3 linked regions of the Drosophila melanogaster genome follow. The protein of the gene in region 1 interacts with the protein of each later gene in a pairwise test. Each region holds a gene or a part of one and is shown in the gene's direction. Other genes may lie near its edges. The genes, in order: btd, CG7991 and CG15545.

Region 1 (11,428 bases):
ATGATATTCATCTTAACAATGGGTAGCTTAAGAGTCGAGATGCACTTCCGTGAGCTTGTTCCGTTTTGGGAGTCATCATTATCTTTTCACAGCAGCAGCAAGTCGTAAAATTTGTGGCTCAGACCCACGTTGCGTATGCGTAATAAAAAAGACGCCGCGTAATAAAAAGGGAGCGAAAACAACAACAGCAACAGCAATTGTGATTAATATGCGGCACACAAGCATACACAAACGCACGCACACACGAAACGGGCGCAGGCCATGCGAGAGAGAGAGAGCGAAGGAGAGAGCTGCTGTCTCTTTTGTGGTGGTGTTTGGTCAACGCCCCTTTAAATACAGTTATTTCATTGGGCCGCGACCACAAATTTATTAGTTTTTATTGTTATTGTATTGATATTTGAATTATGCACGCTCCCTCTTCGTCTTCTAACGTTACTTTTTATCATTGGGATCCTCTGGAGAAAAATGCCATTAAACAGAAATTTTAATTTAATTAAAGTGATGAGCCATACTTCTTTCTCTCTGTCTGCTTACTTTCATCGAAACAAATTGATGGTCTGAGTGGGCAAGGGGATAATGAGAATTTAAGCAGATATTCGTGCTTTTAATGACGGTACTTGAAATGTGTAAAATGTCGAGTAATTTATGGGCATTAAAAATCGGTCGGATATATGTAACAATACCTATATTTTGTGTGTACTTAAGGTTTATATGAGAAATTTAAATGTTTAAAATTGAAAATAAAAACTAAATTTGTAGTTAGAAACTATCTCTAAGTTAGCAGACTTAAAAAAAATTAATACAATTTTTCTAAAATATTTGCTAAGCTCTTTATTTTGAATTGCAAAGGATACGTGAATACGTTATTTATTTTATACACATTTTGAGGGGTTGATAGGGTTAAAATAAACATAAATTATGGAATATATAGATTAACCAACTAAATAATAAAATATTTCAAATACTTCACTAATCAAATATTTCAAATACTTCACTAAAAATGCTAATAATGTAAATTATTTACACATATTCTTAAATACAAACTTTGCATTAAATTTAAGCCAACATTTTTGGCTTAAAGTTTAGATATAACCAACAATAACAACAAATATAAGCATTTTGAGCACTAGCTGAAACGACAACAACAACAGCAACAACAAAACGCATGCTCACCCAATTGCTTTGACACACAAACCCACACATAGAAATTAAAACAAAACGCCCGCGGCAGCAGCGCCAGCAATAACAACACTGCAACAGCAACGTGGAGAGAGAGCACCATACCGCAAGAGCGAAAGAGAGAGAGAGAGTGAGCTAGCTACGGAGAGTGGCTGCTGCTGCCGGGAGTGACACTTCCGCGCCACACGTGCAAGCGAGACGAAGCGAGTTGCCCCGAAGGCACACCGTTGCGGCCAAAAACAACCACCATGATGGTGCCGAGAGCGAGAGAGAGCGAGAGCTGGCTCAGCGCTCAGTGGCGATAGACGAGTGCGAGAATGTGACAGCACGAGCAGCAGCAGCGCTGCCGCTGCCCTCTGCCCGCGCCTCTGCCCGCAGCCAAGTGGATTCGTTTTGTACGTTGTTAGACTCTCTCGCCGCGTTTTGGAATTCAGTCGACAATCGACGATAATTACCGGTGGTTGTATCACATCACATCACGCGCAGCAGCAGCAGCACTACGAACGAAAGAAGAAGAAGCAGAAGAGCCAGCCGCAGTGGCAGCAGAGAAACTCGCTCGTTTTCGGATCTATATATATATATATGCATATAGATTTGTATATATAGAGGGATATATATATATATATATTTGCACGCAGCATTGGCGAATTTTCGGCCGCCTTTAATTTGTTTGTGTTTTTTCCGTGTTCTCCTCCGCGTGCTCGCAATTACGTGCGCGGCAGCAAAAGACTATAATTATAAAACTAAAGTGAAAAGCGTGCCATAATTACACGAGCGAATATCAATAAGTGCAAGAGCAATGTGCGAAAATTGTTAACGAACGCAGTAGCAACCAGAAGCAGTAAAACGCAGCAGCAATCGCAGCAGTAGGATCCAAACAAATCTCAGCGCAACATTAAAATCGCAAGCGTTTTCAACATGATCGATGCGGCCTGCAATTACTTAAATCCCTATGCGCAACAGCATCAGGCGCAGCAGCAGCAACATGCGCAACATCAGCAACACGCGCAACAACAGCAACATCATCTGCACATGCAGCAGGCGCAACATCATCTGCACTTGTCGCATCAGCAGGCGCAACAGCAGCATATGCAACACTTGACACAGCAACAGCAGCAGCAGCAACAACAACAGCAGCAACAGCAGCAGCAACAGCAGCAACAACAACAGCCGCAACAGCAGCAACATGACTTCCTCAGCGCCGCCGCCCTGCTGTCCGCCCCACCATCCCTATCCGGCTCGAGTTCCGGCTCCAGCTCCGGCAGTTCTCCGCTATATGGAAAGCCGCCAATGAAGCTGGAACTGCCGTATCCACAGGCCTCATCCACGGGCACCGCATCGCCCAACTCCAGCATACAATCGGCGCCATCATCGGCCTCCGTGTCGCCCAGCATCTTCCCATCACCTGCCCAGTCATTCGCCTCCATTTCGGCTAGTCCATCCACGCCCACCACGACCTTGGCGCCACCAACAACGGCGGCAGCGGGCGCCCTAGCGGGATCACCCACATCCTCCTCACCATCCTCGTCAGCAGCATCGGCTGCAGCGGCGGCAGCAGCAGCTGCGGCGGCAGCAGCGGACCTTGGAGCAGCGGCGGTCGCCAGTGCCGCCTACGGCTGGAATACCGCCTACTCCGGATTGGGGCCAGCGAGGTAAATATCCCTATATATAGGATTTACAGAAGTTGAGTTGGGAATCATTCGTAAGAAAGAAACTTTAAAATGCTAGTGATCAATAAATCAAAGCTTATAGATCATCAAATTTGTGGTTATTAGGGATACACTAATTTCGATCTGAATTAGATCTCCTTTTAATAGAATAACTACAGGCTGATTGTATTTCGATCATGAGCGAGATAAAGACATATATCTTTTGCAAATTATACAGTTTAATACATAGGAATATATTAATCAAATTATCCCGAAGATTGAAATGGATTAGCATACAAATAATCTCATAAACTTATAAAATGATAGGTACCACTTGAATACATTACAATTTAGTATTCCGATAGCAGGTGTACCCATTAAGTAAATGATTAAAAAAAACCAAATTAACCATTCTCTGTCTTCATTTCTTTTCTCCATCTAGAAGTCAGTTTCCATATGCCCAGTACGCCTCCGATTATTACGGCAATGCGGTGGGCATGTCCTCCTCGGCCGCTTGGTTCTCGCATCAGGAGCGCCTCTATCAGCCATGGAGTTCACAGAGCTATCCGGGCTTCAATTTCGACGACATCGCCTTCCAGACGCAATTGCAACGCCGCTCCGTTCGCTGCACGTGTCCCAATTGCACCAACGAGATGAGCGGCCTGCCACCGATTGTGGGTCCGGATGAGCGCGGACGCAAGCAGCATATCTGCCACATTCCGGGCTGCGAACGGCTATACGGTAAGGCGTCGCATCTGAAGACCCACCTGCGCTGGCACACCGGCGAGCGGCCCTTCCTGTGCCTCACGTGCGGCAAGCGTTTCTCCCGATCGGATGAGCTGCAGCGGCACGGACGTACGCACACCAATTACCGCCCGTATGCCTGCCCCATTTGCTCCAAGAAGTTTTCGCGCAGCGATCACCTCAGCAAGCACAAGAAGACCCATTTCAAGGACAAGAAGAGCAAGAAGGTATTGGCCGCCGAGGCCAAGGAGCAGGCGGCTGCGGCGATAAAGCTGGAAAAGAAGGAGAAGAAGTCGGGTAAGCCACTGACGCCACCCGTGGAATTCAAGCAGGAGCAGCCGGATACGACACCGCTGGTCAACTATGCGCCCTATGCCAATCTCTATCAGCATTCCACATCCGCCGGATCGAGTGTGAATCCTCCGCCGCCACCGCCGCCGCTCTTCCAGCAGCAGATGACGACGACAACATCATCGGCGGCGGCCAGCTTTGTGGAGCAGCCGTGGAGCAGTAGCAGCAGCCGTGCCATACAACCAGCCACTACCTCAGCCAGTTCATCCTCATCCTCCAGCGCCAGTTCCCCAGCGGCAGCGGTCGTTTCTGCCATTGGATCTGCATCTTCCCCAGCCGCATCAGCCACGGCGCTGGCCCAGCATCATTATGCCGCACTTGCCATGCAAAGTGAGTCCCAGCTGGCGGCGGAATATGGGCTAACCATGAGCGGATTGGCCAGCGGAGCTAGCCAGGATTCCAGCTCCAGTTGCCACATGAAGTCCGAGTATGCGGCCAGTTATCCGGCTGATTTTGGTGCGGGAACAGCCAGTTACGGTTATCCGCATCCACATCCGCACCATCACAATGCGTGGGCAGCGGCCTATCATCCACATGCCACCGCCTAGGATGTCCCCGATCCTTCCCAAAATTGTTACAGTTGAAAGTTGATGAAACAAATGCCATAATGTCCCAAAACCCAGAACGGCAACAAAGCAAGCGTAGAACGAAAATCTAGTGTGTGTTTTTTTTTCAGTGTTTATTGTTGATATAAAAATATAATGTGAAAATCAAAAAAAAATTTGAATTCACAAAATACCGTATAAGGCATTATATAATATTATATAAATATATATATATATATATACATACACATATATTAACTATACATGTAGAGACTAGAACTTGAATTTTTTTCATTTTTTTTCCCCCAATCTAGTAGCTAAGGCATTTTTTTTTGCATGTCTGTACATACAAACATATATAGCGTTCTTTTTAAGCCATACCATATAGAATGAGAGAAACCATCTAGTTGTGTACCATAATAATTGTTAATTGTCTTTAAGATAAATTATATACAACAACAAAAAGTGAAAAATCCAAGGCGACAAAATCCCCACACTGAAATGAAATCCTAACAATAAAAAAAAAAAACGAACAAAATAATATCGGAAAACAAAGCGAATCCAGTTTTTTATTATTCTCTCCGATCCCGACGCACCCTTGTTAATGGGTTCCTGGCTTGGTTAGATTTCAGGGTTGTTTGATCTCCGCCAGGGGTTGCTTTCTTGCATATAAATCGAGGGATCCAGGAAGCTTCCCGACTTCCGGCGAACTTGATCTGCTTTTGGGTGCTGACCTTTGGCGGTATTTGGATAATAATAGAAACTTTTTCAATAGCAATCATTATAGCTGTCTGCATTTCTAGTTATAATTTCATCAACGTCGGCCATCGCTTTAAAATTGCAAAAACATTGTTAGCTTGGGAGATGTACATCATTTATAGATTGCTTTACTTTAAAATGTGCATAAATAAAGGTACGAATGTGATATGTATATATCCTTAAATACAATGATTTATTTAGTCAAGATACACATAGTTGTAGAATTTCATAACAATCGGATGTGATTTAATAGTAGTTTTTCTCACTAAAAGCGGCTTACCACTTTTAGATCTCTTCAAGATTCCAGATCCCCGGTCCTTTTCCTAGCTGCGAAATTAATTTAATCCCATTTCCCGCAGCTCAGCATCTATACCCCACACCCACCCCCCTTACTTCAACTGGGGATCATAACTCACAAGGGGCACATATTCAATCTTTAGGCAACCAATGAGAGTCAATTTAGCTCGAGCGACTATCCCACTTTGGCCAGCCCAAAATGAATTGCCCAACACAGAGTTTATAATTAAACGGGAAACATTTTGTCCCAGCAGAATAAGGGGGGAGGGGGGTAAAAAAAACTAATAATAAAAATACAATGATGGCGTGAAGATTGGCAATCGAATCGCCGGAGAAAAAGAGAGAGAGAAGAGTTCGATCCAATTCGATCCGCCGTCAAGCGATGCGAGAGATAGCGATGCAGATCGATTGCGGCCAATATAAAATATTGATTTATGCTGCCCAGCCCGGGCATCAATCAATTTTCAAGTTGAGTGAGCGCCAAGCCCCCGAACGTGCCACGCCCACTTGCAAGTCTTGGACTCAACCAAAGTCATCACCATCTTTGGATGCCCGATGCAATGGTGCAAGAAGCGGTTGACAACCTCGCTTGCTTTCGGATTGGTAGAGCCGTAGTAATATGAAACCAAAAATGGAGAAAGAAACTTTTCTATGGAAGAAGGAGGCGGAGAAGGAGGAGGAGGAGGAGGAGGAGGAGGAGGGTGTGATGGGGCAGCCCGACAACTTCACACGCACGTTAATCATACGCCGCGTTGGCCGCGTTAAGACCCCAAACGCCGAACGTCGAACGCCAAACCTCAAGCACCCAAAAACCCTTTTTGCCCCACCCTCAACCACCACCTTGATTTTTTTTTTGTTCGGGGCGCTCCACTAAATGGCAAACAAAATCTGATTGATTTATAACTGAAGTCTGCGGTCAGCCAGGGAAAATAAAACATAACCAAAAAAGGGAAAAGTCCAGAAAAAAAAAAGAAGAGTACAACAAGAAATACAAAATATAAAATCTCGCAGCTTAATGATGATAAATGATGATGTTATGATTTGTTAATTTTTCTTCGCGTCTCTTCGTTTCTGTTTTTTTTTTTTGCCCCACACCCCCTAACCCATCCCCCCCCGCCCCCGCCACCGCATCAATATTTTGTTTTATTGCGTAGAGGAGTTAACTCGAACATGAGGTATAAGTCTTTACTGTTTTGGTCGGTTTAATGGCTCGAAAAGTGCTCTCGACCAACTCTTGTGAGGGGCGAAAGTGTAATTTTAAGTATGGGTTACAGAATTGCTGGAAATGTTAGTTGTTTAGGGCCTATTTAAATGATTTTGCCTCTTAGATTTTCTTTTTTTTTTTGTCTAATGCACGAAATCGCCAGAACTTAAACCTATATAATGTGAGATTAATTGGTAGTCTATGCAATTTAGTTCAATTCATTTAAACAGTTAGTAATAATAATAAAATGTTGTTGAAAGTTTCAAAGCAATCCAATTAAACAGATACAACATATGAGTTCTTATAATGATATTTTTAAATACAGTAATTAATAAAGTTTCTTTCGAAATTTCATAGATCTTCTAAGCCGAATATTGTTTGTCCAACAACCTGTTAAAAAAACACAAATTAAACAAATTATGAAATCACATCACAAAATGAAGTCATAACCCGATATTGCGACATGACTAACCACTTGGGGCAGCGACAGAAAATTAGATCAGCAGCCGAGAAGTTCCCAGAATTTGTGGCTAGCTGACACCACACCTATGGCCACTTAAAAAAAATAAAAATTTATAAGATATATATACGAAATACCGATGGCAAACCGAAAGTGTTGTCACACATACTCGACTCAAGTAACTGGGACTTCTGGGCACGCTCCTCAAGGATCACAGATTCTCAAGTGGCGCTGTCGAAGTTTTTTTTTTTTTTTGGGGTAACCAGATATCGTTCTAATTTTAATCGGAGCTATAAATAATATCGGCCCGCTTTGGCCACTTGACTCGCCTTGCTGGGCTTGACATTTCCACAGAATCGTTGTTTTGATGTTCGGCGCTCGCAGGAGGCGCAGGAGCGATCCTTGTGCTCCTCACTTGTTTTCATCCTTCGAGAGGACAGCAAATTGAGTTGAGATTATCTCACTGCCTGCGCTAAGCAAGCGTGTCCAAAAAGAAAAGGTCCTGCGGTCGAGATGATCGAACATGACTTAACTAGAAAATGTTTTATGTTTCATCGGCACTTGGTATTTATTAGTTTCTACTTTTCACTTTTCACATTTTCCCCTATTATACACTCTGTTTTTTTTTCGGGTTTCTTTTTTTTTGGGGGAGGGGCGTTGGCGGTGGGCGTGCTTGACATGGTCATCGGTGATTATAAATTTCGGTTATGTCCTGCGGTCGAAACCACCGACGAGTTTTCCCTGTGCGTGTGTGTGCGTGTGGGTTCTATTGCCTTTTGTCTTTTGGCCCAAGATCGTTTCGTTGCGGCATATGGCCCGGTATTTTGGCTCGATGCGGGTGCAGATCTCGGCAGGAATACAAATACAAGTTTTCAGTGGCTGGGGGCTAAGATGACATGTGTTTAAAGGATAATCGCGCTACAAGATCGCAATCCCGATTGCCAAAAGGTACAAGATAAACAGCTCAGCGATGGATTGCCATCAGCTGGCTATTATAATACAAAAACGGATGTCTTCATTTATGCCACCTATTATGAGCGCTGATTGAGCAAAAAATATTTGTTAAATTATATCAAATTTCAAGTTAATGCATACGAGTATATAGATTGTTTTTAATACGCTTATTCGTAAATATATGAACTCCGAATTGAGACAGGTACTACATACATACATATGTGCAGGTTTGCCACATTTGAATATCAATTAATTACCACCCATCAAGTACCTGATGAGCAGCGTTGAATTCAATCGATGAACTGCTATCAAAGGAGTCCTTTGTCGATTTTGGCACGTGACCCAATCACTGTCGCTCACATCAGACCGTGACAATCGTTAAGGATATGTGAAGGATTGGGGATTCGGTACGATACGATACGATTCAATTCGATTCGATTCGTTTCGATTCGACAACCAAAGTGGCCAAAAGGGATAAGGACCTCAACGCTGGCCATCGAAGGACAACTCAATCGGGCCAACGGCATCTGCGGCATACAAATTAAAATATTTATGTGTGTGCATTAGGCGAGGGCAAACATTAAGGGCACAACAACAACAACAACAACTGGATGTGTGGCAGGAGCCAATGGAAAAAGTGCGACATATGTGCAGTCAATAAATTTTCCACTTTTCATGCTGACAGCACAGAAAAAAAAAAAAAAATATATATACGAAAAGGAAAACCGGGACAGGGGCGCTCGAGCACCGCTAATGGCTCCACAATGACCAGGCGCATTTAATTCACAGTTGCACAAAAGAAAAAATGAAGTAAAGGACTCCAATAGAAAAGGACTCGACTAAATTGCTCCTTTTCTGCTGCATTTAATTTGATTTTATTGTTCGCGCTTCGCCTATTTGTTTGTGTCAAAGAATGTTTCTTTCGGTTTGCTACGGTTTATCGATATGGGGCACGCCCACTGCCCCACACCACACAACGCCCCCATTTCCGCCCACACACACACACACAGACGCACACCAACTAATACGCGTGTGTGTTTTGTTTTCCGTTTCCTGGTGCGCATAGAAAAAAAATTAAAGGAAAAGTGGAAAATCTATTAAAATGCATTTAAATGTCTGCACCGTGTAGCGCCTTCCCCCCACCGCCAAACCTGTCACGCCCACACTCGAGTCCAGAAGGGGAGTTGTCTATGCATATACACACACACACACACTCATTTATATGTGTATGAATGCCGCATTATGACCACGAAAAAGCGTTGCGAATTGATTAAGTTTTTCCCATTTCCCTCTTTACCAAATTTCCCCTTTGGAGGGCATAAATCGATTTGCTGCGCCTGCTTTTCGGTGTGATTTCCGTTTATACAGGGTATCAAAAGCAGCAGGGATATGGGCGTCATTAGCCGGATAACTCCTAAATAGACTTCTGATTTTGTGCCTAGTAGCTTTTTAATAAATAATAAATAAAAAAGAACGTTAAAATCAGATAAAATACAACTTGGACTCTTTGTATTTTTTAAATCATTTATTTACAATAGAACGATTTGTTAATTTTTCCAGTAATATTTCACATATTTCTTTATACAATTTTCCTCGATATAGTATTAGTTTTTCTTTTTTTTTTTTGACTTGTGGATCTGGCTCTGACGTGTGTGGCAACAATTACGAATATATATTGTAATATCCCTACTCCCCTTGGCACCTCCTGCAAACCAGATTCGGTTGACATGTGTGGGACAGTTCCAAGTTACCGTCGCTCCACCGGTTTGAGTGAGTGTTTTTGCAATTATTATAAATCAAGAATTTGATTTATGCCATGTAACAAACTTCAGCAACGAATGCGAACTATTCGAGATTATTTACGACCGCAAAACACTTACAAAGTGTGTGGCCCATGAAGTCCGGTTCGGTTTTGTTCTGGCCTGGGGTCTGGGATCTGGGATCTGGGATTTGGAACCCAGAGTTTCACCTCAGATCTCCTACCGACATAACAACAATGTGTGAAATACAAAATACAAAAAAAAAACACCAAACGCCGATGCCGAACAATGGATTTCTAGTGGGCAATTTCTATTATTTATAGCACACAATAAACAAGGTCTGTATATAAATATAGAAATTCGCTCAACCCGGTCTCGAATAAGGGCTTAAAAATCTAGTGTATTTAATTTAAATTAGCTTGTCCAATAATTTTACTAATTTACGAGATGGAGCGACGCTAAAAAGTAGCCTTTCCTTAATTAAACCCCTTTCTGCGTTTTACTAAATTTTCCCATGAATATTTGTAAAATTTGTTGTTTAGGATATTTACATTTATTTGTTGTTAGCCCTATAGTTGCATAAGCTTTTGTAGCCTTGGACAATTGCTTGTTACGCTCATATTGCAAAATTTAAACTTTTACCATTTTTAAATTATTAACCACTTGATTGCTCTCTACTTTCAACTAATGAACCCAATGATGAGCTCACGAAAAAATGCTCCACCCCATTTAAAACTGAAAACAAAAATCTGGCTTGGGTTTTTCCACCCCCAACATACAATATACTACATATGTATATTGTATTTTGTATAGTGTATGTAAGTATGTATGTACATATGTAGCTGGCTCTCGAAGTACTTATGCTACCCATCCCAGATTTCTGTTTGCCACTCGAAATCGACACTTGAACAACCGGCTACAACGACCACAAAAGAGCTGACTGAGTAAACAACAAAAAATTTGCATAAGCTTTTTTATATGCGCTTGCCGCAACAAAAAAGAAAAAAAAAACAGCTAAAAAAAAAACGTCAAGAGGCAGTGGAAAACATGGCCAGCGGAAGCGGAAATGGAAATGGATGCCGCGCGGTCAGTAGTGGTAGAGTGTTCGATAAGCTCGGGAAACGGCAATCAGGATTCAGAAATCAGGAATCCGGGCATCGGGCATCCAAGAACTTCGAACTTGGCGCCAATAGCCGGGTCCGGCCGTCCAACGGTCCACCAACAACAATGGGCCAAAAAGAGAGCTACGCTATGCGAAGGCATAAATCACGGAAAAACGGACAAACGGACAAACGGACAGACGGACGGACAGGCGGACAAACATTCCCGTTGAAGCAGCGTGTTTGCATTTTTTATGAACTTGTCGAACAGCAACACAATCATGTACTCCGCGATATACATAAAAAATGCATAAAAATGTGAATCGCAACGGCAAACAATTGGCAAACAATGGGGAAATCGGATAAGGACCAGTATACATCATCGAGCTTCGCCGCTTCGCTGGGTCCGCAGAGTTTTCCAACTTT
Region 2 (10,704 bases), on another chromosome or scaffold:
GCGGAGTCTGTGCGGCACTGTAGGCGGGTGGCAGGTGCCGCAGGTGGGTGCGAGGATCGTGCAGGACCACCGTGGGCGGTTGGGGTAACAGCAGGTTCTGCCGCAGTCGATGGGGCATGGCGGACGTCTCTATTCCAACTAACTAAGCAGCTCAAATTGGGGAAGCCAGCCACGTCGTCGGCGTCATCGCCTCCGCCGCAAACCACAAACTTGGTCGGCTTGAACTTGGTGGCTATCACATGCCCAAGGTGCCGAAAGCTACCTTACACCCCCTGCTTTGCATTGCAAATGCAGGTGCTCGATAAGAGCAGCTCGGGTGTGGGTTAGTTCCGATAGGGAGAAGGCCTTAAGAGCTGAGCTTTAATATTGGGCTGCCATTGTATCCATATCATTAAACCTTCAAGCCCGAAAGGAAAACGCTTTGGATTGGTATTTGGTGGCTTTATTTGTGTCAATCATAACACTCATACAATGGCTTATGGTTATAATATCTTGATTAATCTAATCAAGCCCTTGTTTGCTTCGTCCCACCTGGATAGCCAAAGTAGCCGACGCTCTTCACCTGCTTGCGGAGATCGGGTTGCATGGAGAGGGCCTTGAAGATGGCTCTCTTCAGCTGCTTGTACTGAAAGTGCGGCGGGAATGGCATGTCCTCGAAGGACAACATCAACAGGTTGCCCGCCTCGTTTCCCACGGCCAGCGAACGGCCGCAGTGGGTGAATCTGGAAGGCGAGGAGATGCGATAGGATCATTCAAGGAGAAGACTCTGAACTCACTTGAAGGTGGTGTAGAAGATGTCGGCGTCTATCACCGTGGAGGACACCGGCTTCATGGTGCTATTGCGCAGGTCCCAGATGTCCACGGTGCTGCGACTGAGCGAGACCAGGATGGTGGAGTGAGTGCGGCTCCAGCGGGCGCAGTGCACCGGGGACAGGTGATGCTGAAGGGTCACGATGGGCAACAGGATTCCAGCCAGCCAGATACGAATGCACCTGATGGGGACGCATGAGTGAGGATAGAGAAACCCGGAACAAAATCGCAGTTGATCTCACCAGTCGCTGCCGCAAGTGAGGTACATCCTTGGTGACCAGGGCGAGAACTCCATGCAGGCGGCGGGTCCATCGTGCACCTGCCTTAGTTCCAAGTGCTGCAGCGGGTAGTTCGTGGAGCACTTGTACAGGGTACCCTCGTCGGTCAGCACGTAGTATATGTCCGACTGGACAGGATCGAGCACAATCTCCAGACACTGCGGATGCCTGTTGGCCAGGAGGGAAGCCGCCGGAGGCTGTCGCTCGATGGGAATCCCCTCTAGCTCGCCCTCCGCCCGCTGCAAACGCTGCTGCTCGAGTCCCAGCATATTGGGACTATTGATCAGCCGGTACTTGGTCACCGCCCCAGCCTGCGAAGTGGCCAAGAAGGGCGTGATGTGCGGGTTCCTGCACCCAACATCGCCCTCGAAGTAGATCCATTTAATGGCCGTTACTGGCTCGAAGTATGGCGAGGACAAACGCTGCGATACAGCTAGTGGTGGCAGATCCTGTCCAGAAATATCCCTAACCTCCACACCTCCGTTGTGCAGTCCAATGGCCAGCAGTTGCGGTTGGGTGGGTGAAAACTCCACGGTGACCACAGGCACTTGGTAGTGGTAGCGTCGTTCCGGATTCACAGGGTTCTTGATGTTCCACACGTAGACCCAGCCGGATCTGGGTAACTTGCTGACCTTGCCGTGGCTGTACACCCCGTAGGCCACCGCCATGATGTCCCCATTGCTGGGACAGAAGCTCATGTCGCTCACCGCTTGATGAACCTTGGGATCCGACGAGGGGGGGCTCAGTCGCCACAGCAGGCCCAGTCGGTACTTGAACTTGACGTCCTCGGCCAAGGGATCTGGAGGAGCCATGTTCCTGTACCTCCGTTGCTGCGGCTCGAAGACATTGCTGGCCAAGATGCGCATGGTCAGCATGAGGGCCAGTCGAAAGCCGGGCAGGCAGTTGATCCCCACGAACTGATCCACCCCGCCCACGTGGTAGGTGGTTATCTCCATCTTCTTCGCGCCCTGCACCTGGACACTCGTGGTGGACTTCTCCAGGTCGGTGTACGTGTCGTACATCTCGAAGTTGGACACATAGGAACCCATCTGGGCGGTGGTCAGCCGCTCGGTGTTCACCAGCCTGGACTTCATCAGCGCCGTCATGGTTTGGGTGTCCGCATCGACGGTTCTCCGCGTTTTGTCCGTTCCCGAGAGCAGTTCGTCGTACTTCCGGTTGTCCTCCATCACCTGGCGACCCTCCTCCGTGTCCGCCAAGGCGGTCATGCTGCGCCGTTCGAATAGCACCACGATGGGAGTCTTTCGGAGCAGCACCTTGATGAAGGGCGTGGCTGGAGGACGGGCGGAGTGGGCGGAGCGGGCGGAGGAAGCAGGCTCCTTCAGATAATTCGGTTCCTCCAGAGTGGGCGACATGGGCGTGTCCAGCTGCAGCTTGTAAAGATTGATCTGGCGAATAAACATACTGTATGGCTTGATTTCTTTGGACATTAAGGATGATAGGCACTCACCCCCAAGGCAATGTCATCCAAGGAAGCTCTCATCACGCACTTCGTTCGGTACTCCGGCGTACGGAGCTTATGGAGTTGCTGCTGCTCCGCTCCGGGCTCCTTCATCAGCGGATGGTCCCTAATCATCCTGCTCAGTTGCTCGAAGTCCGCGGTGCGGTAATCCTTCCTCAAAGGTCGCGACATCCTTCTCAATTAATTTGAATGAGCGCGTGCCGCCGATTTCCCAACTTGTTTACTGCGTGTGCAGACATGGCAACGCAACAATGGTGGATACAATATATGGGTGCCATAACTACCAAGTGCTGTAGTTGCACTCCGATTGCAACACGGAATTCCATTAGCAGGCTCACACATGACTGCACTCATTGCGTCCATAAATATTTATAACTCACATTTAAATCGCGCAACAAAAGTGCATAATAAGTGGGTTGGTAAGCAAAAACGTATATTTAAATATGAATGTAGTTCCAGTTGTGCAATGAAGATGAAGCCACCATAGTCTAACATCAATTTGGATCATTACCTTTAGTGATTCCAATAATTTGCGCGGCTTTCTGACCTGTCACAAGAAAAATCCCCCAACCGGAGAAAAGCAAAACAAACTATAAACTACAAAATACAAACTACAAACTACCAACAAATGAAATTCGTATTCATATTCCAATTAGACAGTAGAAGAATAGCAGACGGAAAATAGTTAGATGGTATATGGTAAAAAGGTCTTTAATTCCGCCACATAGCCGCATAGGAAATGGGCAAAAGATGGGATGAGGAGGAGCACTTGGCCATGTGGGCGATTGAGAGCAGCAAGCCGTGCAGCACACTGAACGAAAATAAGATCGGGTTAAGAATGAAATATGATTAGGTTAAGTGCTCACAGCAAAGAAATGTATCTACAGAGAAATTATTTCAACATGAATCCCAAACTATAAATATGACAATCTTAATTTGAAGATAGCTTGTAATAATCAAAGCGATTTTCCGTGTATAGAAGATATGGAAGTCGAAAAGAAGTTGTTTATGTTAATTTGGCTTTATGCTTCGCTACGCTGATTCGCTTGATGAACATATAGCAAAAAAGAGGGCTGATTATGAGGACGACGACGACGACGACGACGATGACGATGATGATGAGGGGGCCCAAACCGAGCGAATATGGCCAAGTGCACTATGTCAAACGGAGGGGCACACGGCAAGCGGGCAACTGATGGCCAAGAAGAACAAACCATCAAACCGTCAACGCATCAAAGCGTTAAGTAATAAATGTGCAGGCAGCCAGCGAAAAGAAAGAGTTAAGAGCAAAAAAAAAAAAACAAATCCAAGCGGGCTATAAACAATAGTCGCCTGTCTTGCAGGTTGCGTGCATTTTGAACTCTGCACGAGCCAACGATCGTTGTTGTTGGCCGATTTGGCCAGACTCTTGTTGTTGCTGTTACACATTTTGGGGGCAGCAACAACCACCTACAGTCAGCGAAATTCAGTGAACCGCCACCAACGCGACGCCAACTGCGACGCCGGCGGCGACTGCGCAGTCAGCGCCACACTGAATTACATCTTTGAGGTGTTGAAAAATATTAATAATATTTTAAAATTACACTTTAAGTTTAAGACTCAGTTCTGTGATAGCTTTTTAATGGACTAACCCAGCTTGTAAGCAAGCTGATACCACTGATGTAACTACCTTTTAACTCCAGCCAGTTGTTAGCCATGTTTGTCCAGTGTTTGTGAGATAATTAATAATTTTGTCGCCAGCCCGCAAGAAACGAGTCTGCGGAGTGGACCCTGTTTTGAAAAGTGAAATAAAACGCCACTTTTTACGAACATCTAATTGTGTCCGCACCCTGGAAACCCATAAAACGCGCCATCTCCATCTCGATCCAGCCCATGGGCTGGCTATTAGCCATATGTCGCTCGCATTCAGATCGTCTGGGCTTCTTACACCTGTTTTATGTCCCCACTGGCCCCAATGTGCGACGACTGCCCCTTTCGGAGCGTCGACTGCGCCGCCCGGCGTTTCGGTGTAACACATTTTCAGTTCGTTTCCATTGTGGCAGGGAGCGCGGAAGACCAGCGAGCCAGCGAGCCAGCGCGCCAGACGAGAAGAGCTGGCGGCAGAGCGAGCTCAAGTCGAGCTCGGAGGTTTTTTTTCGAGGCAGCGGAGCGACTTTTTATTCGTTAATTAACCGTCGAGCGGGCCAGAAGTCCGAGTTGCTCGGCTTAACGGAAGTGCTGAAATCGGGCGGCTAATTGAGCACACCTCGCCTCCAGTTGACACCTGAGACACCTGAGGGAAAAAACGAATTGAAACCACTCCACATAGCTCGGGTCATAACTTTCCTCGCTGGCCGGCTGCTAATGTCTCAATTTGTTGTGCGCGTTGGGCAAGTGCAGTTGCCATTCAGCCGTGGCTGTATCTGAAAGATACAATTCGGGAGAGCTCGGTTCCTGAGTGATTCGAAGTTTATGCTAATCAGCTGTGTTGCTCCGCGAGAGGGATCATTTCGCCATAGACCCACACCCGCATAGCCAGTGATCACATAACGAAATAACGAAACCAATCAGCAGACGATCTTATCAGCGCCAAAAGAGGAGGAACACAATGTTGTTTTGGAAGAGGCGTCTTCAGCGATCGAGCAGCTCTTCGAGTAAGTCCCCGTTTCTATATGGCCAAGTTTGTGGGAATGGTGGTAATGGGGGACGGGGGACGGGACCACGCCTCCAACGATTGGGCAACAAGAAATATGATTTCGCCGGGCAGGTGAATTTCGATTTTCGGTCCAGTGACAAGCTCGAATATTTTGGCCTCGACTCATCTGCATAATTTGCATCTTAAGCATTATTTCTGGCTGTGCCCAGCGACTGGTTTATTGATTTTATTTCAGTGCTTCCCTGGCCAAGATCGTAAATTCACCCCGCTGGGCTTCATCACCCACAAAAGACTTGGACAAATACAAATGGGAGCGCGAGCCACGCGGGACATGAATAATAGCTCATATCTGGCCATCGAAATTCTCGCCGAGGTGTTCCCTTTGTGGATGACGATTGCCCAGAGATTTATGAATGGATTTAATGTGTTTAGCATAATTATGCAGATCGCCGTGTAGAAGATAATATCTCACTAGGTTTGGTTTCAAGCGTAAACACTTGGGATGGAAGTGGAAAGATTTGACACATTCACGATCAGTCGGATAAAGATTTGATGGTCTTAAGGGGCTTGGGAAGAATGGGTTTACTAACCAATATGATTATAGTGTGGTCAACACATTGTACCCTAATCCCCCACTTGAATCCCTCTCCTTCCTTTGAAAACCCATGGCCCGCAGTCAGGTGTCATAACAGATTTGTCCCGATGGCCAACAAGGTGGCCAACTGCTATCGAGCATCGCATTGAAAACTGTCCCTTTTCCCCACATTCCTGTGGTTACTCTTCGTCTTCTCCCATCCCATCCCATCTGCTCCATAACTTTCCAACCAAGTGCCGACTATGTGTCTCATTCGCTGTATCTCAGTTCTGAGCTCTCGGGGTTTATTTGGGATCAAAAACATGACTTTGACTTGTGGTAATGTGATGTTAATGACAATCATCAGCAGCGACACAAGCAATAACAACGCAGGCAGAACGAGGAGGAGCAGGAGTAGGAGTAGGTGACATCCACACCACCGCCACATGAAAGCAGTAGTCCCAGTAGTGGGTAGCCCCGCCTCCTGAGCCGCGGAGCACGCCTAACACGATTCCGGAGATCGGACATCTCTGCCAGCGACATTTATTTTATGTGCGTTCCGTTCCCGAAAGTCGTGGCCCATAATCGGCTTACCCAGAGTTCTTGGCTCTACCATACCGCAGTTGACACTTCTGGCTATTTGGTTCGCTTAGTTCGTGCCCGGAGTCTTCTGTTTTTATAGAAGCTGCCCATCAAGTTGCAGGTTTAATGGTCGCTTGTGGCCCAGTGCCGCATCGAAAAATGAGTTCGGCGTTTTGTTGTGACATTTTAATGGCCTGACCGAGCTCCATTCCCCACCGCCGAGATGGTTATCAATATTACAAAATAGTTTTCGGCTTTCGGTGGAAGCGTGCTGGATGGGATTGGAATGGTAAACAGTGTCTGGAGAATTATCTGAAACCTAAGACGATGAGCAAGGTGGAACAATTTAAATTACCATAAATCAAAACCCACAGATATACTGTGTAAGAAGTGTAGAAACATAAGTTCCAATTGAGAGTTTCTCACCGAGTTTAGTCGAGCTCTATTTGGGGCACTCCATTTGCAAGTGGCTTAATTCCCATAAATTCCGTTTGTAGATCTTTCACTTGACCGGACTGCGTCCCCCTTTGAGACCCACTTAGCCCACATCTTTGGGTCAGTCCTACACTTTCCGCGCATTCCACGAGCTCGGACCTCGAAAATTGTCTGCAAATTGCTCATAAATTACATGAAAACCGTCGCAATGCCAAAAGCTGCACCTACACCATCATTATCAGCTTGTAAATAAAAAGACTTTATCAATCGTTAAGCCGCGGGCGCAGACTCGCCATCCGGAGCCCGCGTCCGGGATCCAAGATCTCACCTCATAACATAACATAAAAGTCGTCCGGGTGGAAGGAGATGAGATGAAGATGGAGCGAAGGTGGATGCCCATTCCCATTCCCAATCCCATTCCCATCCTCATTCCAGGGCAAAACCCTGGCTCCGCTGCGGTCAAGTACAAATATTTTTATTTATGATTTTACAGATCAGCATATTGCTCAATAATTTCACCGCACCGGCAACAAAATAACTTTCAAATTACGCCTGCCGAGGATCCTCGCTTAAGTGCGCCAATTTTGAGATTATTATTGCCGGCTGCGTATGCAGATAATCGTGACCCAAAGTGCAGGAGGATGGGGTGCCCATAACTCAGCCGGTTCAGCTGGGAATCGGGAATGAGCTGGAATGATCCTCGACCAGCAAGGACTAGTGGATTGAAGCTGGTCAGCCACCGATTTAATTACTCTATTTGGCTAGTTTTTTGGGGTCGAATTTAGGTTGTCTGCGCTAGTTGGGATCTGGATTTGGATCTGGATGTGGAGTATTTGGGGCAGCTTAATATTTTCCCATAAATTACTCGGGGCCAGGAGAAAATTACTTTAAAATTTATGGCCCCGGCATCTTACACGCTGATTTGGCCCTTTTATTTTCGGCTGGCCGTTTGGTTTCTTTCTCTGGCCATCGAGCATCGAGCACTGGCTGCGAGGATCTGGGAACAGGTCGTGGCGGCGATGCCCCCACCGCAGTGATATCCGCGTTCCGAGGGGGCGGTCCCCTGGAAAGTTCGCACGATTGATGATCGACTGCGAGTCGCAGTTGCCGAGCTCCAGATTCACTGGGCTCCCTGGGCTGCGATGATGACGCCGTCCTGTCACCGCACTGACATCGCTGTTTATGTAATTACCGCCGGCCGCGCAGCGATCACAAAGCTATCCCGATATCCCAGTACCAATCCCAATCCCAGTGTATCCGATATGATCGCGATCGCACACACAGCTTTTGGGCTCAGCCCAGCTCAGCTCAGCTCAACTTTGGCTTTAGCTTCGCTTCGGACGCAGCTTGTAATTATTTTCTACTTAATCTTCATCACATGTGAAACATGTCGAAAAGTTAAGCGCTCGGCATGAGGCGTTGCCTCCACTCCTCGCTCCACTGCCCAGCGTCGCGTCCGGGGATGCACTTCATCGGATTTCACTTGCACTCGAGGCGGGAGTGGAACTTCCTCAGCCATTTCCAATCGCTAATGACTGCAGGAAATGGTCGGCACTGGGAACATCTATTGTGGGGAATTTACCAAATTTCACGGCTACCAGCGGGGTGTTAAAAGATAGCTTAAATGTGGGGAAGTATCTGAGTATCTGCTAGATATGTTTCATTAAATTTGAGCTACTCCGCCTCACGTGCAACATTCACATTTTACAAGATGTACGTTGAGATATGTTCAATCCGCAGATGAGTAAGATTCTCAGATACGCTCGATTCAGCGGATAACATCTTTTTTGCTTGTGCCCACAATCCTTGCAATAATTTATTCGGATTTTATGATGCGACATTTGGGATGCAAGTGCATGATAGCTTTTTCTTTACATATGTTTACAAGCATCCATTGTGCCCCACAAAAAATAAGGGGGCATGAGTGGCATGTATGGGCATGGGCATTCGGGGATCACGTAATCGTCTGGCAGTCACCTGGAACTGGAATCCAATCCCATTCGTCGTTCGCCATTCGCCATTCCGTCTGGTGGCCAATCTGTTATCTTCCTGCTGGGCAGAGTGAAAATGAAATGGGCAGTGTGCGTGCAGCGGATCACGCCCCATCTTCTCCTTGACCCGCCAGTGCATCTATATATATGTATGTATGTACTATATAGCCTTGTACATCATGTGGATTCGCATGCAGATGAAGAGTCGGCAACTTTGGAGGGGGTGGGCCAACCTCTGACCGAATTTCCAGCGATGATTATCGACTGGCGTGCAAATATGCGGAAAGAACGCTCGCTGAGCACTCGCATTCGGCGCGGTCTTGTCTTTTAAATGGAACTAATTAAATTCGGCTCCGAAAGCGTTGAATTTCGTGTGTGAGCCCATAATTGGGGGCTTGTAAAGCCCAAGGGAAACGCCCACATGCGAACCGATACCACTGCCCTTCGCCGCACTCCATCACCATCACCATTTCCCGATTTCAGACCCACTTTGCACTGATTTAGTGTCATATAAAGTTGTAAGTGAAGATTATGTTACCAGAACTAATTGCAGCCAAGGTGAAGGTAGTCCAGGATGGGAAGCCCAGCAGAAAGAGAGACTGCGTCCCCTTGGCAGACCCATTCCCATTCCCACTCCAGCTCCCTATACCCGTCTGCTTCTGGCTGGTCCCTCCGCCTGTCTTTCTGCTGACAGCACGTGCTGAAGTTGCTCTGCCCCTCGAGTCACCGGAATGGGAATCCCCGCCTCCGTCTGGGCCAGCAAGTTTTCTGTCAGTGTTGTCGCGCAGTAATGACTAAAAAAGAGCCACTAGTTAAGCTGGACTGCATTTTGAACAAGAACAAAGGTAAACTTGTACGTTAGGAAGACTATTAAATGGGTTTAAGGTATCTTTAAATCTACATGTTCACAACTTTGGCTATGACGACGTACTATATCTTATTCATTAGGTGTTTTATATTCATAAGCATAAGTAAGCATCACTGTCAGTTGGTAATTTTTATAATTTAATTGACAAAGTGACAGGTTTACTCGGAGGAGTGGCTTGCTCTTGGAAGCCTTAAAAAATCAGGCAATTGAGTCGATATTGATTTTGGGCCACACACATGCGAGTATTCCAGAGATACGGATACGGATACCAGCCATGATATAGACTTCTCGGCTCGTGTACTTCGCTTAAGTGCCGTTTGGCACCAGGTCGGCTACTCGGTGTCTCTCGGGGATGGGACATAAATTGACTACCAGGAGCAGGAGTCGATTGTTTCCTGTTCGGTGCAGGTGTGCGCCCAACTGCGGAGATTTAATGTCATTTTCTGGGGCTGCCTACCGAAACTGCCTGCAAATTGCCAACAAGTTATGAAATTCCACAAATTGTGATTTGCATGAAGCCGAAGCAGAAATGGAAAAGGAACGAGGAAAGGAAAGGAAGTCCTGCAGGAAGCCCTGCATTGGGCTTAAAGCTACGAGGGGCTCACTCGGCCATGTCTTACAGAATCATAATATCCTTGGCATGCTCTTTTGCCCAGCAATTCAACTCCATTGGCCATGAGCTGCCATTCTGGTTTTCAAGCTTCATTCGTTGGCTGCTTGGAATTCCGATTGATGCACATTAGATAAATATTCCATAATTCAATGCTGACTAGCAAGCCGAACAGAAGTTGCTGCTAGCAAGGATTTGCACTGCGAGAAAAGAGTGGTAACGAATGCATCGAAATATAATGCTCGAGAAGTCAATTTTCCATAAATAAGATAAGAATAAGTTTAATTGATTTTTACAGCTGCCTACCATGCTATCGGTTCATATCACTTTTTGGGACAGTTAATTTTTTTTTTCGAATTTTTCATTTTTTATATTTTTTTTTTTGTGAATAACGGCTAAATATTAGACTTTTTATGTGTAAATGCCAGTCGGTCGGAAATT
Region 3 (9,771 bases), on another chromosome or scaffold:
AAACTAAAAACTAAAAACAAAGAAAAAAACAAAGTTTGTAAATGTCAGGTTATAAAGCATAGATCCCCGTGTCAGCGATGTCAACTCAAAATCAAACGTAGTCTAAGCAACCTAACATATCCCCCCGCAGAACGTATATGGTACCCATCTACATGAGCAGCCACCACACTGAGATATATAGATATGCCACTTCGCCGTTTCGCAATTTCAGACCCTCCAGAGTAGTATCCCCACATAGACCCGTATGCAAACCGAACGTGTATGATATTGTATGTGTTTCTATGGCATTGTTTGTACATTAAGCTTATTACGTACTCCAAATACGTCTTCGACTAAAACGCAGCCTGGGAGGTAAACCAAATAAAATGAATTAATGGAAGCAAAACATAAGTAGCAGTAGTAGTGTCCATCAGCAAAGCTCCCCACACATCTCCCCACTCCATTCCAATGGCAAACCATGTAAAGATCAAGAGAAAATAAATTTAATTTAATTAAATAAACACTGGTATGTTTTACTGGTGTTTCGCTTTTCCTTTTCAAAGTGCATTGTTCACGACATTGTGTCAGAGTATTGAGCTCCTCTCAACTTTCAGCCATGTAATGTTACGTATACGCAGTGTCGGCCATACTGAGCATCATTCAAGTGACACTCACTTGCGGCCAAAAGTACGTTGAAGTTGAAGCCATTAAAGCACCCAATAATTGGCATCTGTTGTCGTTTATTATTCTTGGTCGGCCAACTTTGGCGGCATTCTGGCTTTTTAGTCCGAACGGACAGGCCAAAAGCGAAGTAAAAACCAAAACATTTGGTCAACGCTGAGCTCACGAAAATCAACTTTTCGTTCCAAAAGTGAAAAATGCCGCGATTTGGTTTGACCTTAGATGGAAACTCGTCTCTGCCGCTGCGCCGTCGACTTCGCTGCCAACGTCCACGCTGCACTGGCAGCAAATAAATTTTTGCCTCGATGCTGTTTGTGTTTGTTGTTAATAAGTCACTCGAAGAATTTGCAAAAGGGTATAATGTATTTTCAAAAATCTTGCGAGAGGCTAAAAACCAAAACCAACAAGTGTGTCATTTTCCAAACTGCCTGCAGTGAATGCAGCGCACTGTTTGCTTTCGAAGAAATCGAATATGGAAATATAATTAAATGCTGTATATTTCCAATTCGTAGAGTATCCAAAAGTTTATAAACACAGAAACTCTCGTTTTTACTCACTTCTCGAGTTATTTTTCGCAAGAATCGCAAATTAGTCTGGGGCCTGGTTGATCACCTGAGCAAACGAAACTGAACGCCTACGACAAATGACAACGCCGATGGCGACGCCAACATCTCAGCCATTTTATGTGCTCTCCGGCCTCCGACGGATTCTTTTTGTGTCAGTCGGTTTGCGGACCAGTCTCCGATCAGTCGAGTGGACCACCAATCCGGCGAAGATTGGGCGACCATGCTGAACGGAAAATTCTACACGGGCTTGCCGCCCAAAATGGTGGAGCGCCAGGCGGTGAAGGTGTGCAATCGCCAGGAGTCGCACTTCTTCTGGCCAGACGATTCCCGAGCGGATTCCGCGGTGGAAACCCGAGCAAAGAGGAGAAACAGCCAGCAGCTGGAGAGGCCTGTGGAAAGGATTACTTCCAATCAGAATGTATCCGACGAAGTGGACACACGGCGAATGTTTCACAAGGAGTTTGCCAGTTCTTCCATACAGTTCTATGATAATCTGCAGTCTAATCCTGGAAATAAACCTTCATTGGCAAGGGGTCTACGCAGAGAAATAACCCCAAAACTAACCGAAGTGAGACCGCAGGAATCGGATAACAAAGCTGAGGACACCAGCAGCCGTCGCCAGCAGGCTTACAGCTCCAAGATCCAGTTCTACGATTATGTAAACGAAGCAGATAACCTAACTCAAAATAACGCCAGGAGACCACAAATGGACTTGAATGACAAGCGCGAAGTGGAACTGAATTCCAAGAACAGTCCCAAGCTGCAGGTCAAAAGAAATGTGCGCAGTTTCAGCGTGGAACTGGAGCCCAAGGTCACCAAGAAACCCCTGAACGACAGTCCCGAGTGGCGGCGGCCACGCCCACTGCCCCTGCCCAAAAGGATACTGAAGCAAACGTCACAGGATCAGGACCCGTACGACCATCTGGAAAGTCGAGTCCGAAGATTGCAACTAACCCGAAGTCCCGGACTGCCCAAAAAGCATGTGACCTACAACGAGGAGGCTGCCGAGTACGCCTACTACGATGATCGGGTGGATCGCGATGATCGGGAGGATCGCGAGGATCGTGAGGAGCCCACCTACGAAACTCGCTACCGTCAGCAGCCAAATATGCCGACAGGAAGTCGCCAGCAGCAGCAGCAGCAGCAACATCAACGCTCTTTTATGGAAACTAGTCGGAGCAAGCCATTAAATAATAATAATAATTATCAGGCCAACGGCAATGGTAGGAAAATCTTTCCAAAAATGCCACAGACCCAATCCGGAGTGGGTAACACACACACTATCGACGAAGATCCCCCCGTGCCCTCTGACCCTCGCAAACACCTGCGCAGCAGCCTCTGCTTCAGCGGCGACGCTTTGATGGTGGGCGGTACGGCGTCGCAGTCGCCGCCCACTGCGCAGGCGCGTCGCAGCTCAGCGGGGCAGAGAGTGAGCGTGGGTCTGCCGGACTGAGGGCTCCAGTTCGCGTGTTCAGTGATTAGTGCAGCTACACAGTGAGAAATGCAAGTGCAAAAACATATAACTGAAGCGATGAAGAAGATCATACAAGAATATCTGCTTGACAATCATTAGGATGAAATAGTATTACAAATATTTCTCTATGTAGTAAGTCGACAGCAACAATCTGCATTGCTAATTGAAAGCCAACAGCGACTGCAACAGAAGCAGCAACAACATCTGCAGCACAACAGCCACATCAGCAGCAAGTTGATGCGACAGCAGCAGCTCAACCTTTTTTTAGTTTTTACTTTTACGATCCCATACAAACTCTGAATTCACCCACATGCGAATGAATGAGTCGGCTTTTTTGTTGTTTTCGAGCGGTTGAATATACATACATAAACAAACCTTGATCTTGACTAATTTGTCGGCGATGCTGTTGTTGTGCACCACGATCATGTATTAATTTAGCTTTTAAAGCCAACGCAGAAAAATCTATAATTATAATGATAGAGATATGCTAATAAACTAATACATATATAACCAAATAAATTTCGAATCGGGAAATATTCAATTAAGCCTTAAAAACCTACTATAGGCACAGAAAAATATACATGGGCACTTAATCAATTCGTTTGGTATTCAGTTTTCAAACTAATAATGAAAGAGAGTGAAGTTCAAGTTGTTATATATTTATATCGAGGTAATCGAAAGCAGGCGCACATTGAACTTGGAAAGGCTTGCCATGAATACAACGCAGCTATTCATTGTGTGCATTGTGTGAATAGAAACTTATTCATACCTCAAGCTCACTGATGGGCCTGTAATCTGTTTGGCAATATTATGAATCGATCTAGTATGTAATTCATAGACCGTAATGTAATTCGAGGCACCCTTTCGCGCGGCTTTTCTTTATCGACTCATTTGAAATTCCCAACAATTTGCTAGTCTGGCAATCAAGTCCGTTGCTCTGGGCAGCTCACCTGGCCAGCCCATTTTGGGGCTGGGGCTGGGGCATTCGCAGGTCCCTGCCCCTAGCTCCTTTCACAAAACTTTCAGAAAGAAAGAGCCATTGAGGTGGCATTGTTAGGAGCCAGCGGAAATCCAACCAAGCTTGCAGTCAAGTTGAAGTCCAAGTGCCAGTTTAAATCGCGACTGGTGGGGTTTCCGAGCGGTTTCACAAGGAAACGGGGCATTATGCGGCGTTGCAACCAATTGTCACGCGTGTTGAACTTGAGCTTGACCTTGTCTTGGAACGGGGTGTGGAATCCAACCACCCATTGTCCAGCCAGCAAATTGCAACAAGTGCGGCAATTATCCAACATATGCCACGGGGCTGCAATCAAGGCGGCATTAGCCGGGAATTTAATTAAGGCATCGCTTTAATTGCCGACAATCTGCAGCTGCCATGGGAACCCAATTCAAAATCCAGAGACAGGATAAGCGTGCAAAATAATTGTGCAAATGAAGCGTGGTGAAATGTTACGCAACTCCCTGTCCATATCCACTGCCATTTCTCAAACCATTTCTTCGTCCATTTCCATTTCCACATCCACATCCACTTCCACCAACTCCGGGACAAGACAAACTGCTCAACCTCCGCTCATGTACGTCCATACGGCATACATCTTCCGCATTTCGATCGCGCATCCTGGCCGATAGAAAGTAGTCCAAGCGTGCCGGCAAAAAAGGCGAAAGGGGCCAAAAAGCAGCGCCAGCTGGCTAACATTTCCTGGCTCGACTTGGCCCCGACTGAACCTGAACTTCGGGCCAAATGCGGAGAGAAGAAAAGTGCAGCGTTTATTGGGTAATACTCGTGGAAACCCGTTTGCCGCAAGACTGATTTAAAAAAGTCGATAGGATAGGTGGTTCTTCTGCTTTTTAGTGGGTGGGTGGCTCGTGCCGGTCGACGTCATACACATTAAAAAATTGTTGGTGTAAAGTGAGCGATTGTAATAGTTAAATATTTAATGGAACGTAGATATATTACCATTTTCGATTATGATTGTTATGATTATTAATTAGCAATTGTAAGTTTGTTACTATCGAATAAAGGCATTCCTTTTAGTTAGCTGTATATTAACAAGTTTGAGGTCAAATTACGCTACTCAAAAAAGCCATCAATCTTTGCCTATTAACTATATTGTCGTACATTTTGCATATCTAATTTGCTTACTTTCCTATTAAGTCACATACCACAACCTAAGCCCCCTCCACAGTTACAACTTCGAAGAAGTAAATGGCCATCGTTATGTGTAATTACGGCCATAAAGAAACATTTTATTTATGCCCCCTGCCCCATCCGATAAGTTGGCGCTCTATTTCCTAGTGGAAATGCAAATAATGCCTCACTTTGCGCGCGGTAAACTCTTTTTTTTTACTCCATGTTGTTGTGAGTAGTAAGTCCATGCGTGAAGCGGAGATTTCGATCTGCTACTGACTAGCTGCTCACCTGGCAGGTTTCAATTGCGATTGCCATTGCGAAACATGTTGCAGCAGGTTCGAGGAAGCTAGCATAAAACTGTTGCGTCCGTTGGCCGAACTTTCAGTTTCGTTGGGGCCACGCTGGTGGTTAATACCATTGAAGAGAGTTTTCACAAGACGCAATCACCCCGAAAAAGCCGCCACCCAAAATGAAAGTGTGCTGGAATGTAAGCTGTTGCATCCGCAATCGTAGATTCACAATTAACATGAAATGGATACTATCTCCTTAGTTCTTTGCTGCGGCGGTGCTGTTAGTGACGGTCACCTCGGGGCTGAGACCCCCACGATCCTACTATCGGAGGAGCTACTTCAGTGCAGTGGGTTCAGGATCTGGGCACGCACCCAGCTCTCTGCCAGGACCAGTGAGAATAGGACCCGCTAGTTACTTCCGTGCCGATCTGCAAACAAATGAGAGCAAGCACCGGCCACTGAGCAAAAAGTATCCCAAGAAGAGCCACTACAGACCCTACGGATCGGTAAGTTGGCCTAACAAATAAGATATCAAATAATAGGAAAGATCTAAAAGCCCGAAATAATACAATATTCCCCTAAAATATAGCAAGAGGAAGAGGACGAACAACGCTACAATTCCGCGGAATATTCAGGAGAGTCCTCCGTTCAGGATAGTCGGGAATACACGATTGGCACCCAAATTCGCGTCCAGCATCCCATAACCGTGCCCAAGAAGTCCAGTTCCGGCTACCAGAAGCAGCCAAAATATGTGACGGCCATTCCATACAAGGCATCTGGTTATGGATCCGATATCCACAAGCCCTCCGGTTATGGATCCGATGTTCATATTGGATCTGGAGAGGATGTTGGACCTCCTCCGAAAAGATCGAAGTGGACCCCAGTGCAATACGAATCGGAAGCCGATCCCTTCCATCTAGTGCCACCTCCAAAGGCAACCGTCGCCTCCAGCAGCAACTCATATAGTGTTTATGAGCCCGAACACGATGACTACGAGGTGGTTCCAGTGCCCCGACCAAAAAGCCACGATCGCTACAAAAGCGTCGCCTCCAAGAAACAAGTAGAGGCCTACCTAGAGGATCAGCAGAAGCTGCTCGACGAGGCCATCAAAGTTCAGCTTTTGAACAATCCGAAGCTGCAAAAATTCTTCAAGGCCCAGGCGCAGGAACAGGAGCGGGAATCGCGGCCAGACCTCGAAATCGAGGATTTTGAGGCCTATCCGCCCAACTTTTCGGGGCCCGGACACCTGCGCAACAAGTACATCGAACACCCACCATCTTCTCCGCCGAAGGGATCTCGATCACGCCGGCGTCCTCCAAGTGGAGATCTTAACCGACCACCCAAGACCATCATCAAACCGAAAAGGAAATACCGATCCACAGCACTGGTCATCAATGTGTGAGAGGGATTACTAAGTCCTGACTTAATCGTTAATTAAAATATCGTTTATAAATACTTAGAGTAGTCTTGTTGTACAGAGTATTTTTAAGTAATAAAAGACCATTTATTTTAAATGCCCCTATTTAAATGACTTTATCTTGGAAGTTTGGTGTTGATATGAAAGAAAATTATGGATATATTTTGATGCATTTAATTTATAATTTACGAATTTTAACATACGAGTTATTTGGCGCTTAGGAGCAGTTAAGCATAAATAGTTGTATATTTTATAAAGTGTTTTAATATACTTTTCTGTTGTATCTATCAAGAGAACGGTGGCGGTCTCTATCGGTTTTTGAAAGAAGTATAGAGTCTCGGTTCTTGTCTCAGCTAAATGTATGGTGTCCCGGCTTTTCTACCATTTCATGAGGAGAATTCGTCACCAAAGTGAATCCGATAAGGAGTGTTGCTGGCTTATTTGCTTAAAAAAAAAAAGATTATATCACTTAACTCAATTGCAAATAACCTTTCAATTTAATGATGTTTTCAAGTTTATAATACGCCACTTTAATTAAATATATTAATTACTCATCAATTTAATTGGATTCTGTATTCGTCACACCCACATCGCCATAATTGGAGTGAGTTCCACATTTCACGACAAATTCTGGCGACGTTTACCTTTTTAAAAATAAACGCAGTCAATCATAAACGTGTGTTGTTCATAAAAATAGACGTATTAAGAACACTTTGGAAGCAACACACCCATGAGACACCTGTTTCGATCCCAGGCAAATTCTCGACTCTTACCTCTTTCGCAAATCCGAACGAAAATCCGCAATTGAGCAAGCCAATTCAATCGATTGCGATTGCCGCAAAAGTGGGTGCACAAAGGCACGCGGAGAAGAAATCATAAAAAGCAATAAGTAGCAAAAAACAAAACCGAATTGATTTTCTTAATTGACTAAACAGTTTCAACAGAAGCCAGACCCCAAAGCCAGGCAAAGCAAAAATCCAAACTCCAAGCCGGACCCTCGAGTCCACAACAAATCTGACCTTGAAAGCTAAGCTCTGAAAAGTGTTGCTAATATTGTTAATGTAATCGTTGTCGGTGGTGAAAAGGAATGCCAACCAATGGATGTGGAAAGTACAGAGGGAAAAATGCTAAAAATAAAGACAACAATAAAATGCTAGCACTAAAAATATTTAAAAAATAAGTAAAAATGGAATCATGAATAAAATATAGTCAAATTAGAATAGATTTTGAGAGATATTGAATGAAATCAATTATTTCAGCATGCCCTGAATTAATTTATTATTTCCGAAGTAAATATATAGGTATAAGTGCAATTAAATAATAGAATAGCAATCGGTGCTCGAATTAAGTTGTAAACTATAACACACATATGCTGAGAACTCAGCAGGTGAGAGGAAATAGCAAATTAGCTGGCGGCATTCTTGCGTTCGATGGTGCATAAAATATGCAAAACATTTGGATGTTATTAAGTTGCACTAACGCAACTGGAGCCTGACGGATCGCAATACCATTGGGAATTGATTTAGAGCCCCAATCCCCTAATGAACCAGTGCCACCCCCACTTGCACATGGTTTTCCGGCTTAGCCAGCACCAGCACACCAGGCTGATTTCATTTTCATCGGAATTTTGCACAATTGGCCAAGATTACTGTCAAATGAGCGAAACCCGTTTGAGGTCTTTCCTTGTTGGCCGCATAGAATCGTAACAGAAACTCGAAACTTGTTTTGCACGTACGAAAGTCGGTTGTGTAATGCCGCATTTAGTGGGCGTTCACCACCCGAGGTGTTTAGATAAATCTGCTGGAAATTAAATAAGCGGCCACTGGCCGAAAAACAAAAGACTGCAGGACACGAACTTGGTTTCCTTCATATATTGTTTTTACTCGATTATAGTACAAATTGCTCAGACGTCCCAAGGCCCAAATTAACATAGTTTCTAAATTAATTTTGATCATTTTTCAACATCATCGAAGTTTATTGACTTCTCTTTTCTTGGGAAGACTTAAATGGAAAGATTAAAGTTTAATGGGAAAGTCACAGAGAAAAAGGCCGACATTTCTTGAGTTTTTTCATATTTCAAAAATATGCAAATGATATTTTGAATATATTTTGTAATTTAAATCAGCAATACCCATTGGGCAGCAGCGATTAATTTTCTCTGTGTAGGATTATAAATTAATAACAAACAGTACGCATATAGGAAGTACGATACAATTGCTCTTAAACATATCACACGAGAGTTTGATGGAGTCAAGAAAAGAGTAGGGGTTCTAGTTGTGATAGGGAAAGTTGGAAAAGAAGAAAGAGGATCCCTACTAATGAAGAAGATGCATAATGTCTGAGTGGAGGACAGTGGGGCTTATACCTTGTTGAAGGAGTAGGTGAAGCCATCGGGCGTGCGGTTCAGGGACAGTTTGCCGGGTGGCGAAAAGCGGTGTGGGTTGGGGGTGGTGGTGGTGTAGTACGCCTGCTGGGGTTGCGGCTGCTGATACTGGGGTTGGGGCTGCTGATACTGAGGCTGGTACTGCTGCTGCGGCTGCACGGGCTGTGGGTTGTAGGCGGGCTGGGGAGCAGGACGGTACTGCGGCTGGGCAGCGGGCTGCTGGTAGCTCTGCTGGTTCTGTCCGAAAGAGGGATCGTTGTAGCGGGGATCGTAGGAACCATCATCTCCGTAGTCATTGCTGCGGAAACTGGCCTGCGGCTGGGGAGCGGGAGCCTGGTACTGCTGCGGCTGGTACTGCTGCTGTGGCTGATATCCCGCTGTGGGCACGGGCTGTGGTGGAGCAGGTGGTGCCTGGGGCAAGTGATCTCCAGAAGCTTGGAAACTATTTCGGAATAAAAACCAAATTAATACAAGTTCGGGTATTTGTTCTATAGAAAGTGCTTACCCATTTTTGCCAGCTGTGTACGAAATAGTACGCCTCTGGCCCGTGGGATCCAGATAGCTGTAGCTGCCATGACGTGTTCCATCCGCATCCGTCTCCTCCTTGAAGTTGATGCCATCCTCCTGCTCATAGGCAGCTCCGAACTTTCCATCTCCGGACAGATAACGCTGCTCACTGATGATGGCCGCCGTTTTGGGATCCTGGTGATAGTGCTGGCTGGAAGCCAGGGCCACCAAGGTGGTCAGTGCAAGCTGTCAAGAATTCAAAATTTATTGTACAATCAAGTATTTGTGTGCTGCCAATTCCTTAATCTGAGTCATTATCACTTAACGTATTATAAGGTAAGAC

What was found.
Region 2: the proteins of btd (region 1) and CG7991 interact in a two-hybrid assay, tested with the Drosophila melanogaster proteins (one large-scale study listed by BioGRID).
Region 3: the proteins of btd (region 1) and CG15545 interact in a two-hybrid assay, tested with the Drosophila melanogaster proteins (one large-scale study listed by BioGRID).

Annotation. Positions count from the first base shown.
Region 1 is NC_004354.4:9,692,577-9,704,004, forward strand, and holds btd (buttonhead), read left to right. Parts: upstream 1-1,609; 5' UTR 1,610-2,097; coding exon 2,098-2,831; intron 2,832-3,270; coding exon 3,271-4,471; 3' UTR 4,472-4,982; downstream 4,983-11,428. UniProt on the Drosophila melanogaster protein: Required for the development of the antennal, intercalary and mandibular segments of the head.
Region 2 is NT_037436.4:1,669,967-1,680,670, forward strand, and holds the start of CG7991 (uncharacterized protein), read left to right. Parts: upstream 1-4,742; 5' UTR 4,743-5,155; coding exon 5,156-5,201; intron 5,202-10,704. Other genes in the region: RabX5, read right to left, coding at 1-118; CG13930 (uncharacterized protein), read right to left, coding at 506-722, 777-992, 1,053-2,494, 2,557-2,739.
Region 3 is NT_033777.3:30,867,810-30,877,580, reverse strand, and holds CG15545 (uncharacterized protein), read left to right. Parts: upstream 1-5,229; 5' UTR 5,230-5,300; coding exon 5,301-5,318; intron 5,319-5,381; coding exon 5,382-5,627; intron 5,628-5,710; coding exon 5,711-6,523; 3' UTR 6,524-6,642; downstream 6,643-9,771. Other genes in the region: CG15546 (uncharacterized protein), read left to right, coding at 1,447-2,679; Cpr100A (cuticular protein 100A), read right to left, coding at 8,898-9,363, 9,427-9,674.